Linked DNA regions of Drosophila melanogaster. The protein of the gene in region 2 binds, or shares a complex with, the protein of the main gene of each other region. Each region holds a gene or a part of one and is shown on either strand. Other genes may lie near its edges. The genes, in order: MED20, MED19 and MED18.

What was found.
Region 1: MED19 (region 2) and MED20 share a complex: the UniProt entries of both Drosophila melanogaster proteins name them as parts of the mediator complex.
Region 3: MED19 (region 2) and MED18 share a complex: the UniProt entries of both Drosophila melanogaster proteins name them as parts of the mediator complex.

The regions. Positions count from the first base shown.
Region 1 is NT_033779.5:8,071,156-8,074,382, forward strand, and holds MED20 (mediator complex subunit 20), read right to left. Parts: upstream 1,694-3,227; 5' UTR 1,607-1,693; coding exon 848-1,606; coding exon of another isoform or gene 800-847; 3' UTR 657-799; downstream 1-656. Other genes in the region: poe (purity of essence), read right to left, coding at 17-111, 293-411; Trf (TBP-related factor), read left to right, coding at 1,816-1,970, 2,042-2,561. UniProt on the Drosophila melanogaster protein: Component of the Mediator complex, a coactivator involved in the regulated transcription of nearly all RNA polymerase II-dependent genes.
Region 2 is NT_037436.4:17,844,752-17,848,507, reverse strand, and holds the start of MED19 (mediator complex subunit 19), read left to right. Parts: upstream 1-2,006; 5' UTR 2,007-2,316; coding exon 2,317-2,754; intron 2,755-3,613; coding exon 3,614-3,728; intron 3,729-3,756. Other genes in the region: CG7430 (uncharacterized protein), read right to left, coding at 1-370, 434-961, 1,270-1,311. UniProt on the Drosophila melanogaster protein: Component of the Mediator complex, a coactivator involved in the regulated transcription of nearly all RNA polymerase II-dependent genes.
Region 3 is NC_004354.4:1,863,783-1,867,417, reverse strand, and holds MED18 (mediator complex subunit 18), read right to left. Parts: upstream 1,510-3,635; 5' UTR 1,405-1,509; coding exon 1,280-1,404; intron 1,233-1,279; coding exon of another isoform or gene 1,210-1,232; coding exon 923-1,209; intron 856-922; coding exon 614-855; 3' UTR 531-613; downstream 1-530. Other genes in the region: Pex5 (peroxin 5), read left to right, coding at 1-410; Gcna (germ cell nuclear acidic peptidase), read left to right, coding at 1,682-3,248, 3,311-3,635. UniProt on the Drosophila melanogaster protein: Component of the Mediator complex, a coactivator involved in the regulated transcription of nearly all RNA polymerase II-dependent genes.

The DNA.
Region 1 (3,227 bases), on a different chromosome or scaffold from region 2:
ATTAGGGTGCACTTACTTGTCTTGATTTGCATAAGTTTGTCCGCCGCCAGGGCCGCAAAGGCCGTGTAAAACTGCGTGAAATTGCTTTCCTCCTCGAAAAAGTCATGTTCGCTATGCAAATATCGGAATAGAGCGTTGTTAGTTCTCGATATTAAAGAATTTTCAAAGCTTTTTGCTATTTCGTCACCGGAGCGGCCATATTTAATTTTGCAAGTCACTTTTTGCACTAGCAGAAAATTTTTCACTACGCCATTCGGTAGGCGAAAAGTTCTAGATGATCGTTTGTACTTACCATCGCGTGATAGCTTTGAGCAAATTAACAACTTCGTTCTTGTTTAAGGCTCCTGTACGGTTAAGTATCAGGGCTTTAACAACGGAATTCCAATCCGTTCCGCCGCTGTGGGCCGACATTATTGTTTAAATAATCTCGTCAATTTGCCCGATAGTACTGAGTACTCGGCCTACTGTGTGGCCAGATTTCATTAACGGTAAAATGCCGTGCGAGCAGGGATACCACACAGCTTTAATCATTATTCCAATCAGCTGTTTTAAAAATACATAAAAAAGTAGTGAATAACCAATATATGAAAAAAACTGTACACTGCACAAAATATATATATATATATATATATAACTATAATATTTTAAACGTATTTGGACAAGCTAATAAATGTTTTGTTTATTCGTCTAAAATATGTAAAGCAAACTAGTGATGCTAGCTTTAAAATAATGATTATTTAATTATTAAATATTAGTGACATATGTATATTTTTTTTGTTTAAATTATCTTCTAAACATCTTAATCGGCTGCAGGCTCATCCGGTGGCTCCAGCTTGACGTCGGCGGATCAGGATCGATGTAGTCCCGCCACCGCCGGCGACATATGCACGTTCGGACCAACCTGTTGGCTACCCGGTCCACTGCCCATACCGCCCATAAGAGTCACATGCTTCCTATAGTTGGTGAACTGCTCCAGGTATTGTTTCACGGTGTCCATTGGCTCAAAGATGTCGTTGTGCTTGGCATGCAGCTGCTGTTGCCCCATTGCCGTCATTATTGTCTGTGGAGCGAAATAGGAGGGAAAGTCCTTATTCACAGCAATGCCGAGGAATCCCTGCAGCATTTCGCGTATCATTTCCCAGCAGTAGGCCAGAATCACGCATGACTTGTACTCGATTTCGATGAGGATGCCCTTGAAGTGCTCCATCATGGTGACGGAACCGAGTTTGATAACAAAGTCACCATACTCGAAACGAGCGCCACGGGACTCGATTTTGGTCTGCTTTTTGGAGGTGAAGGTGTTGGTCATCTTGAGCATGAGCAGATCGAAGATATTGTCGGCGACAATGGCCACTTGTTTGCCGGTGCCATTGTCGATGATCGAGAACGTGGAGGCGGGATACTCGGAGTTGTGCAGGACGTGGACTGCGCGTCCAGGTGCTCCATTGTGCGGCTGTGGCGTCGAGATGAACGTTTCGCAGTCCACCAGAAATTGACCGGCATGTGTGGCGCCCAGGGCGAGCAGACGCTTGCTCAGCTGATCGATTATGTGGGCACCCGATTTGCCTTCGGGTAAGGGATACGGTTGAAGGATAGTTACTCCCATAGTTTATGCAATAATGTCAGCTTTTTAGTTTTATTAATTTTGTTTACAAGTCTTGCAAGCTAAAAGCGTCCAGTGTGACCAGTGCTGACTTTTTAGTCATGAGAAAAGTTAGACAAATAAAAATACCAAACCGGCATACAATTTTCGTCAGCAATAAAATAGGACAACACTGGCCACGTCGCGTGCGGATTTGTTTATAATTTTCGGCAATGCAGTTTCACTTTAAAGTCGCGGACGCTGAAAGGGACAGGGATAATGTGGCTGCGACCAGCAATGCTGCCGCCAATCCGCACGCAGCCCTGCAGCCGCAACAGCCCGTTGCCCTGGTGGAGCCCAAGGATGCACAACATGAGATACGATTGCAGTTGGTTGACCACTTTTCAGAGGCACTTCATGAAATAAATAGAAACCCATTGATACATCCATAACTTGCAGGAATATCGTGGCCACCTTCTCGGTGAACTGTGAACTGGACCTCAAGGCAATCAACTCGCGTACGAGGAACTCGGAGTACTCGCCCAAGCGCTTTCGTGGCGTCATCATGCGAATGCACTCGCCCAGGTGCACAGCGCTAATCTTTCGAACGGGCAAGGTCATCTGCACGGGTGCACGAAACGAGATTGAGGCGGACATTGGATCGCGAAAGTTCGCACGCATCCTGCAGAAGCTGGGATTCCCCGTAAAGTTCATGGAATACAAGCTGCAGAATATTGTGGCCACCGTTGATCTGCGCTTCCCCATCCGCCTGGAGAACCTCAACCACGTGCACGGGCAGTTTAGTTCCTACGAACCGGAGATGTTTCCAGGCCTAATCTATCGCATGGTCAAGCCGCGCATCGTTCTCCTGATCTTCGTCAACGGAAAGGTTGTATTTACGGGCGCCAAGTCGCGCAAGGACATTATGGACTGCCTGGAGGCGATATCACCTATTTTACTAAGTTTTCGCAAGACGTAGTTGTTTCTACACATCCAAATGTTTTTGTTTAGCTTAGTTATATTCCATAACTACAATATTTTTAATATATTTACCTTAACTTTTTTAGTATAAAATGTGAAATGAAACAACTTAATTAATAATTTCCATGGGTAAATTCATAGAAATTGTAAGATTTTATTTTGGCCTTACTAAGCAAATTAATTTTTATTTAAAAAAAACTGTTGTTATTTTAAATAAATTTTTATATATTAATGTCTTGTAATCCATTTCATTCTATTCTTTGAATTAATAATAAATTTGTAAGTAATTTGAATTTTTATACATTTTTGTACCCATTCCTGGAATTTGGGAAAAATATTCAAATCCACAAATTCTGAAGTGTACCAACACATTCCATGAAAAGAAAACACATTTGGATAAACATTACTTTTATTTATTTTCAGGTTTCGTTTATTACAAAAGAAAACACAAGACACTTCATAGAGATTCGATTCGATTCTTATGGTACGGAAAGGAGCGACATTCTTAAGTTGTGTACAAAAATTTCCTTGTTTCTCGCTTAGTAGCTTCATGTACATGGCTATGTGAGATTTGTGTTGGGAATTTATAAACTAATTGTGGTTCATATGAAGGCGTATATACGTATAAAACTTACAAACTATGCAGATTCATTATTTGCATAAA
Region 2 (3,756 bases):
TGTAGGGACGACGTCCAACACTGACCAGCAGGGCGTCGCACTGGATCTCCTCTTTCTCGCCAGACTTGGCGTTCTCCACGGACACGGTGACGTTGTCGCCGCTGCGAGAGGCAGCCGTCACCTTGGTGCCCAGCTTGAACTTAAGACCCTGCTTGGTGAGCACCTTTTGGAACGTCTTGGAGACTTCGTTATCGATGCCCACGCCGCCGATCGTATCCATGAACTCAATGGCAGTGACCTCAGCGCCCAGACGCGACCATACCGAACCCAGCTCCAGGCCAATGACACCGGCGCCGATGACAACCAGATGCTTGGGCACCTTGGCCAGCTTCAGGGCGCCAGTGCTGCTCACAATAACTTCCTCGTCGATCTGTGAAGGTTTTTGAATGGCATGCATTAGTAATCAAGCGCGCTGTAGAGGTTTTGCACTTACTTCAATGCCAGGGAAGGGGGTAACCTCCGAGCCGGTGGCGATGAGGATGTTCTTGGTCTTGACAGTCTCCGTGGAGCCGTCGGATTTCTTAACCTCCACCTCGTTGGGATTGACGATGGTGCCGAAGCCCGTCAGCTGTGTGACCTTGTTCTTCTTGAAAAGCATGGCAATGCCACCGGTCAAAGCCTTCACGGCGTTGGACTTTTGACCCATAAGCTTCTCCAGATCCAGGCTAACGCTGCCGCAGCTAATACCACGTTTCTCCAGATCACCGGAGTGGGCCATGTGGTAGTAGTGGGAGTTGTTCAGCAGCGCCTTTGAGGGAATGCAGCCAACATTCAGGCAGGTGCCGCCCAGAGTTGCCTCCTTCTCCACGCTGACCGTCTTCATGCCCATCTGGGCGGCCTTGATGGCGGCGACATAGCCACCGGGTCCGGAGCCAATCACCACGATGTCCGCCTCGTGGGTGCTGGAGTAGCAGCGGGCGTTGAGGGCACCCAGAATGGCGGCATTGGTGCGCAGAGGAGTCTGTAAAGACGGCAGATTACTACATGTTGTGGCACCTTATCATTTATCACGCCAGTCGCACGCATTTCGCACTAATCTTCGGCCGACTATCAGCTGATAATTGGCCTAATTAGCGACCTTGAAAACGGGGCCAAACAAATCCCCAAACGCCAGTGAATCACCCACCGGGATCATATGAGCACTGCAGGTGATCCAAGTGCATTTTCCAGCCTTTTCCTGCCCATTTCTCGACCCCCTCGGTGAGGTTAGATTGCATAACTTGAGGGGCGATGGCGTTTGGGGAATCGGTTATGTCGCCCGATCCTTACCTTGGCTACTGCCGAAACAACATGACGGAGCGTGAATTGCATGGCTGGTGCGGGCGAGTTATGAGGATAATCGTTATTTAACTACAAACACAACACTAGTTTGATGTGTGTTTTTCCGACTGTTTTTCGTGTTGTGGGGCTCGGAGCGGTCGCAGGGCTGGCGATGTGCATTCGATAGTGGTCATATGATGGCCGCGATGCTATCGATTGTTTTGGTGATTTTCCACTCTGTTGGAATTTGAAATTCTAAAACATTTTCGTATGAAAAAGATGTGTATAAAAATATTAGCTTGATGATCGTTCAAAATACGATATGTCCGTCACTCAATTGCTAGTTTATACAATATTCACTTTATGGGTCATTTGTTGTAGCAAAAGCTACCTAAAAACAAGCCAACTATACGTGTAAGCCGGCTTTTATAGTTTTGGCACCCATTAATTAATGTTTTTGTACGTATAAAATAAACTGTAATAAATAAACTGTAAAATAACTGTTTTAAAAATATATAACTCAACGTACATACGATACATATATAATAAGAGTTCCAAAGTAATATTAACTTTATTATATCTATAGGTAATTAAAAATGTATTATACGATGAATATTCGATAGTTTGCCCTACAGTACAACCCTGTGTGGTATTCCCCATCTGGGATATTTCCCACAACACTTTTGGTATTTTCACGTCGCGTTCATCTCGCGTTTTCGTTGAAGCCTCAGTATTTCGCTAGCTGTCGCAATGCGGTCACACTGGTTCGCGGACACAACAAGATGGCGAGACTTGCCCCCGAAATCTGTTAGAAAACGCCACAAGAGCAAATAATTAGTTCAGTTTTCGACCAGAAAAGAGTCAGCCGAAGTGCCGGGCAGACGCGGCGCATTTTGCAGAGTGTGAGCTTGGCCAGCGTTGCCCGAGAGCCGCGACAGGCGACACCTTCTGCTGGCCTTGCCTTGTTGCTGTGCCCCTGTGTGCGTGAGCGTGTGCGGTGCGGTGCGATTGTGTGCGTGGGTTGCCAAGAGTGAAGAGAATCGCTGAGTTTCCAAGATGATGAGCAACTACGGCAACATGATGGACTCACCGAAGTCATCGCCCCACGGCGGCGGCCGATCACCCGTGGTGGCCCGTCAAGACTCATCCGGCACCCTGAAAACGACCATTTCGCTGGGCAAGACGCCAACGATCATTCACACGGGGCCATTTTACTCCATGAAGGAACCACCCGCCAAGGCAGAACTTACCGGCGACAAGGATCTCATGACCGAGTACGGACTGCACCACACACTCACCAAGTTCAAGGAGAAGAAGTTCAAGGAGTCGCTGGCCTCGTTTCTGCAGAACATCCCCGGCATTAACGACCTCATCACGCATCCCGTGGAGAATAGCACGCTGCGGAGCGTGATCGAAAAGCCGCCCATTGGTGGAAAGGAGCTTCTTCCGCTGACTCCCGTGCAGCTGGCCGGATTCCGCTTGCATCCCGGACCGGTTGGTTTTTCCAATATGCTTTTAATTCGCTTGCTCAGTTTGAAAAATGACGAATCTTTAGATACGGCACATTGAACATCTTAGAATACATTTAGACGCTATTCAATGCTTTGCGTCTCTATACATTTGCATGCATTAATTTCGCTTTTTAAAATTTGCATATGAAATTTGGATTTAAGTGTCCTTGCACAGACTGATCTACTATAAAGTGTTATTTGGTCGCACCTTTTCTGTCACTTATTTCTATAATCACCGTAGTATTTTAGAGTTGTAATTCATTTTCCTTATGTTCAACAACAAATTTGAAACACAAATATTTTAGTCATTAATCACAAAAATTACTTAAATTAACAAGAGTGTAAATGTTGGTTTTCCCTTTAAACCTCTTTTGAACAGTGTATATTAAGTCAGTAGTTCGCAACGCAGTGATCTATATGAACAGCTGAGTCGATAAGGCCATGTCCGCCTGCCCGTTTTCTTTCAGTTTTAAATTTTTGTTGCAAGTAGTGCATAAATCAGAACGCGCCAGTTTAGGCCACTAATTCATATTGCTGCCATATGGTTTAATATTATGATATTCAAAAAAAAAAAAAAAACTAACCTTCCTTGTTGACGGATTGTCCTTCCTTTCTTGTTATTGAAATATTGGCATTTAATATTATTGAGAGTTTTCTTTCACCCTATATGCAATCTAATAATAATAATAATTCATCTTAAAAGGTTTCGTGAAATATTTTTTACATGTCATATATTTCAAACAATGGATAAATCGTTACTAGAACAAATTGCATAAAATATATTATTTTTTTCCTCTGCACTTTCACATTGCTAATTTATCCGATTCTGGTGCTCCTTTCAGCTGCCGGAACAGTATCGTACCACATATGTCACACCTGCGCGTAAACACAAAAACAAACACAAAAAGCAAAAACACAAAGACGGGGTGACCACGGGACAGGAATCCACGCTGCTCGGTAAGCAATCTGCTGAATTATCGAGCAA
Region 3 (3,635 bases), on a different chromosome or scaffold from region 2:
CCGCTCTGCAGGTGGATCCCCAAAATGCGAAGACATGGAACCGATTGGGGGCCAGTTTGGCCAACGGCTCGCGCTCCGTGGAGGCGGTGGAGGCTTATCAGCAGGCGCTGCAGCTCCAACCGGGCTTCATCCGTGTGCGTTACAACGTGGGCGTATGTTGCATGAACCTTAAGGCCTACAAGGAAGCTGTGGAGCACTTACTCACAGCGCTTACCATGCAGGCTCACACTAACGCCGCCCGAGAGCTGCCCAATGCGGCGATGGCGGCTACCTTTAGAGGACAGAACCAGATGTCCGAGTCTATTTGGAGTACGCTGAAGATGGTCATTTCGCTGATGGGCCGCAGCGATCTCCAGAGTTATGTGAGCGATCGCAATCTGGCGGCTCTTAATGAGGCCTTTAAGGATTAACCGCCCCGCAGCTTCTTTATCACTGCTTTGGGAAAGTCCGTTGTTGTCGTGTCATGTGGGTGTGTAAGGTTGAATTTGAGATATTTTTTACTCTGGCAGTGTAATCATTCCCTCTCGGTTCTTTTCTGTAAATTTGTATATTTTCTTACATTTAAGAAATTAAATAACTGTTGGATAAATGCGATGTGCACTTTTATTGTAAACTACGGCATGCCGCCCAGTCGCTTGTAGTCGATCTTCTCGAGCTGCACGAGTGGCTTTAGTTGCTCGGCAAACACGCGCATTTCCTCGCCGACATTCTCCTGCCCCGTTGGCGCCACCACAGAGAGTTCCACTATGTAGCTTTGTGAGATTGGCTCGTTGGCCATGTCCTGCTGCTTGCCGGGCACAATCTTAATGAGCTTGGAGACGGTAATCTTCATGCGCCCCTTGCGGAACATATAGCCTGAAATAAGTCCATTTGTCACTATCCATTTTGGCAACCCAAGCGTAATATATTTCATGATTCCAACCCTTTGCTATGTACTCGAACTCCAGGCGGAAGCCCATTTCCGTGAGGAATTCCAAAATGCCATTGGTGCAGGCGCAGTCCATGCAGCTGCGTACCAATGTAGGCCGGCGCAGATCCACCTCGGGGTTTCCTAGGTAGCGCATCTGAAAGGGTGCATCGCGACCAAGGGCTCGGCGCACGCGAAGAAGCAGCGGCTGGTTGGCATTGGGCTGGCGAAGGCTCATACACACTTCCAGATCGTGAAACGGCTCCGGCGAGGTGTCCACATTGTCGCAGAGTCCCTTTAGTCTGATAGTGGGTAGGCGGTTAGACTGTTAGTCGGGTGCAAACGATTCAAATCTGACACTGGGTCTCCCACCTGTGCATCAAGTGTTCCACGGCGGAATCCAGGATAGATCCCTGCAGCAAGTACTCCAGGTTGGGCAAGAAGCGGTTGTTCATCGCATGGGAGAGCGACTCACGGGCCGACGACACAATCGCCATTGGCTAATTTTGTAAGTTTGGGTGTACTATGGTATTAAATTAACTGAGCAGTAGTTTGGTTTTGTTTTTAGTTTCATTTCCTTGGAAGAATTCGTTTTACTAGTGATGCCGTTTTAGACATTTTCGAACAGCACTAGCTAGATGCCGGAAAATCAAATAGTCTATCGATAACGATGAACGTAAATCGACGCGCACAGAATAATAGCAAATACGAATTTTGCTTAAAGCATATTCATAGAGATTGATTTACCGTAAATGCCCCAACGACGCCCCCAAAATGGCGGATCATAAGTATAGGCTCTTCAATGCGGTCGACCCGAGCAAAGTAAAAGTTCCCTTCAATCAAAAGTTCGCCAATTTGACGCTATCCTCCCACAAAAAACGACTCCAGGTGTCCCATGCGCCGAAGGATCATCCAGAAAAGAGGAACGACCAGAAAACAAGGAAACTGCCAGCAGCTCCCATGCGCGCCAATGTGGGAGCACCCGCTCCGTCCTGCGGGGCAAATACGGAGGACACAGAACTCGACAATTCCGACTACATGGAAGCCTTGCAGCTGAGCGCCGACGGCTGCAGCCAGGATGTGGCAAATGTGGGCGATGTAGAGCTCCTGTCCGCTGGCATCAGCAATTTGAAAGTGCAGCCCATAAATGAGGAGCACTCGGCCAAGCCGGAGATCTCCATTTGCATTTCCTCCACTACGGAAGAGAACGTATCCGGCGACGACGACGCCGCCTCCTGTATCACCATATCCGATTCTAGCGAGGATGAGCAAGAACCCTTGCCTCCCGATAGCATGGCTGTGAGTGAACGGGAAATTGTGGCTAATCCCGGCCAGGAAGACATACCACAGCCCATGCTCACAACCGAAAAAGTGCAGCGCATCGAGGCTTTTCTGCGCGATGTGTCCATAGAGCGACGCGAGATGGAGTGGAATGGCCCATTGACACCGCCCCCCCTCTCTTCCAGCCAGCGGCAATCCCGTCTAGCCGATGCGGACACCGAATCCATGTCGCCCACCGACGAGGACTGGCAGCCACCCACTACCAGGCCGATTTACAACAGCACACAACTGGCGAACAACGATACGCAGGTGAATACCATCTGCTCAGCAGATGCCACTCGATTGGATAGCAGCAAGCGGTTGGCAGACGACGAAACGGAGGCGAATACTCTCGGATCGGAGGAGCTTGAGCCCACATACAGCAGCAAGCGTTTAGCAGACAATGACACCGAGCCCAACACCCTGTGTTCTGATAGTTCTGAGACCCATAACTCGACGATTCACAACAATGAGCCCGTTCCTGATGAATCCATTGAAATACCGGAAACCAGCAGCGAGGGCGAGCTCACGCCGCAAAAGGCCAGCTCTGGTTCCTCCACATCGGGAGGGGACGAACACGGTTCTATCCAGGTCAGCAGTATTAATATTTCAGCGAAGATCAACATTAAAATCAGCATTCCCACTATGGAGTCAAGTTCGGCGGAAGACGACGATGAGCATTACTCTTCGCCCAGGGCCACTAAGTCCCTGCCCAGCTCGGAGGAGGTGCAGCACCAAGAGCACCAGCAGCAGGACCCTCAGAGCCACCAAAAATCCATGCTGTCTGTGGATGATGCATCCGAGGATGAGCAGTTTCTCACCCACGCAGAAAAGCTGCTCAATCAATTGTACGGCAAGTCTTGGCAGACACCAGATGTGATCCGCACTCTAAAGCGCTCCAGTGGTAGTGGCGGTAAACAGGCTCCTCTGAGGCCCAGGAATATTCAAGCAACAGCGGTAACCACCGCTAAAAAAAAGAAGCCCAAGCCAGATGAAAGTGTTCTCGGGGACTTCAGCATATGTAAGAATTTATCCATGCTTTTTATCCTCCAACCGTTGAGTCACACGCGCTTTAATCCCCAGTTACTAAACCTCTGCGCACAAATCAGACTCCTTTAAACTCGACTCGTCTGCCTCCGATGCGCGCTGTCCAAACGGAGAGACGTCCGCGGACTCAAAAGCCGTTGACACGCCCACGCACCAATCATATAGACGAGGATCGCTGGCGCAAGCTCATAGATTCCGACAGCGGGACAGACGCCTCCGACGACGAGGATGCAGATGCCACTTTTAGCGAAAGCGGTAGTGATAGCGACAGTGATAAGGACAAGGAGAACAAGCAAAAGAGAGGCGACCTTACCTATCTCGACTTGAGCAAAGACGAGGTGGAGGTGATCAGCAATCCCGA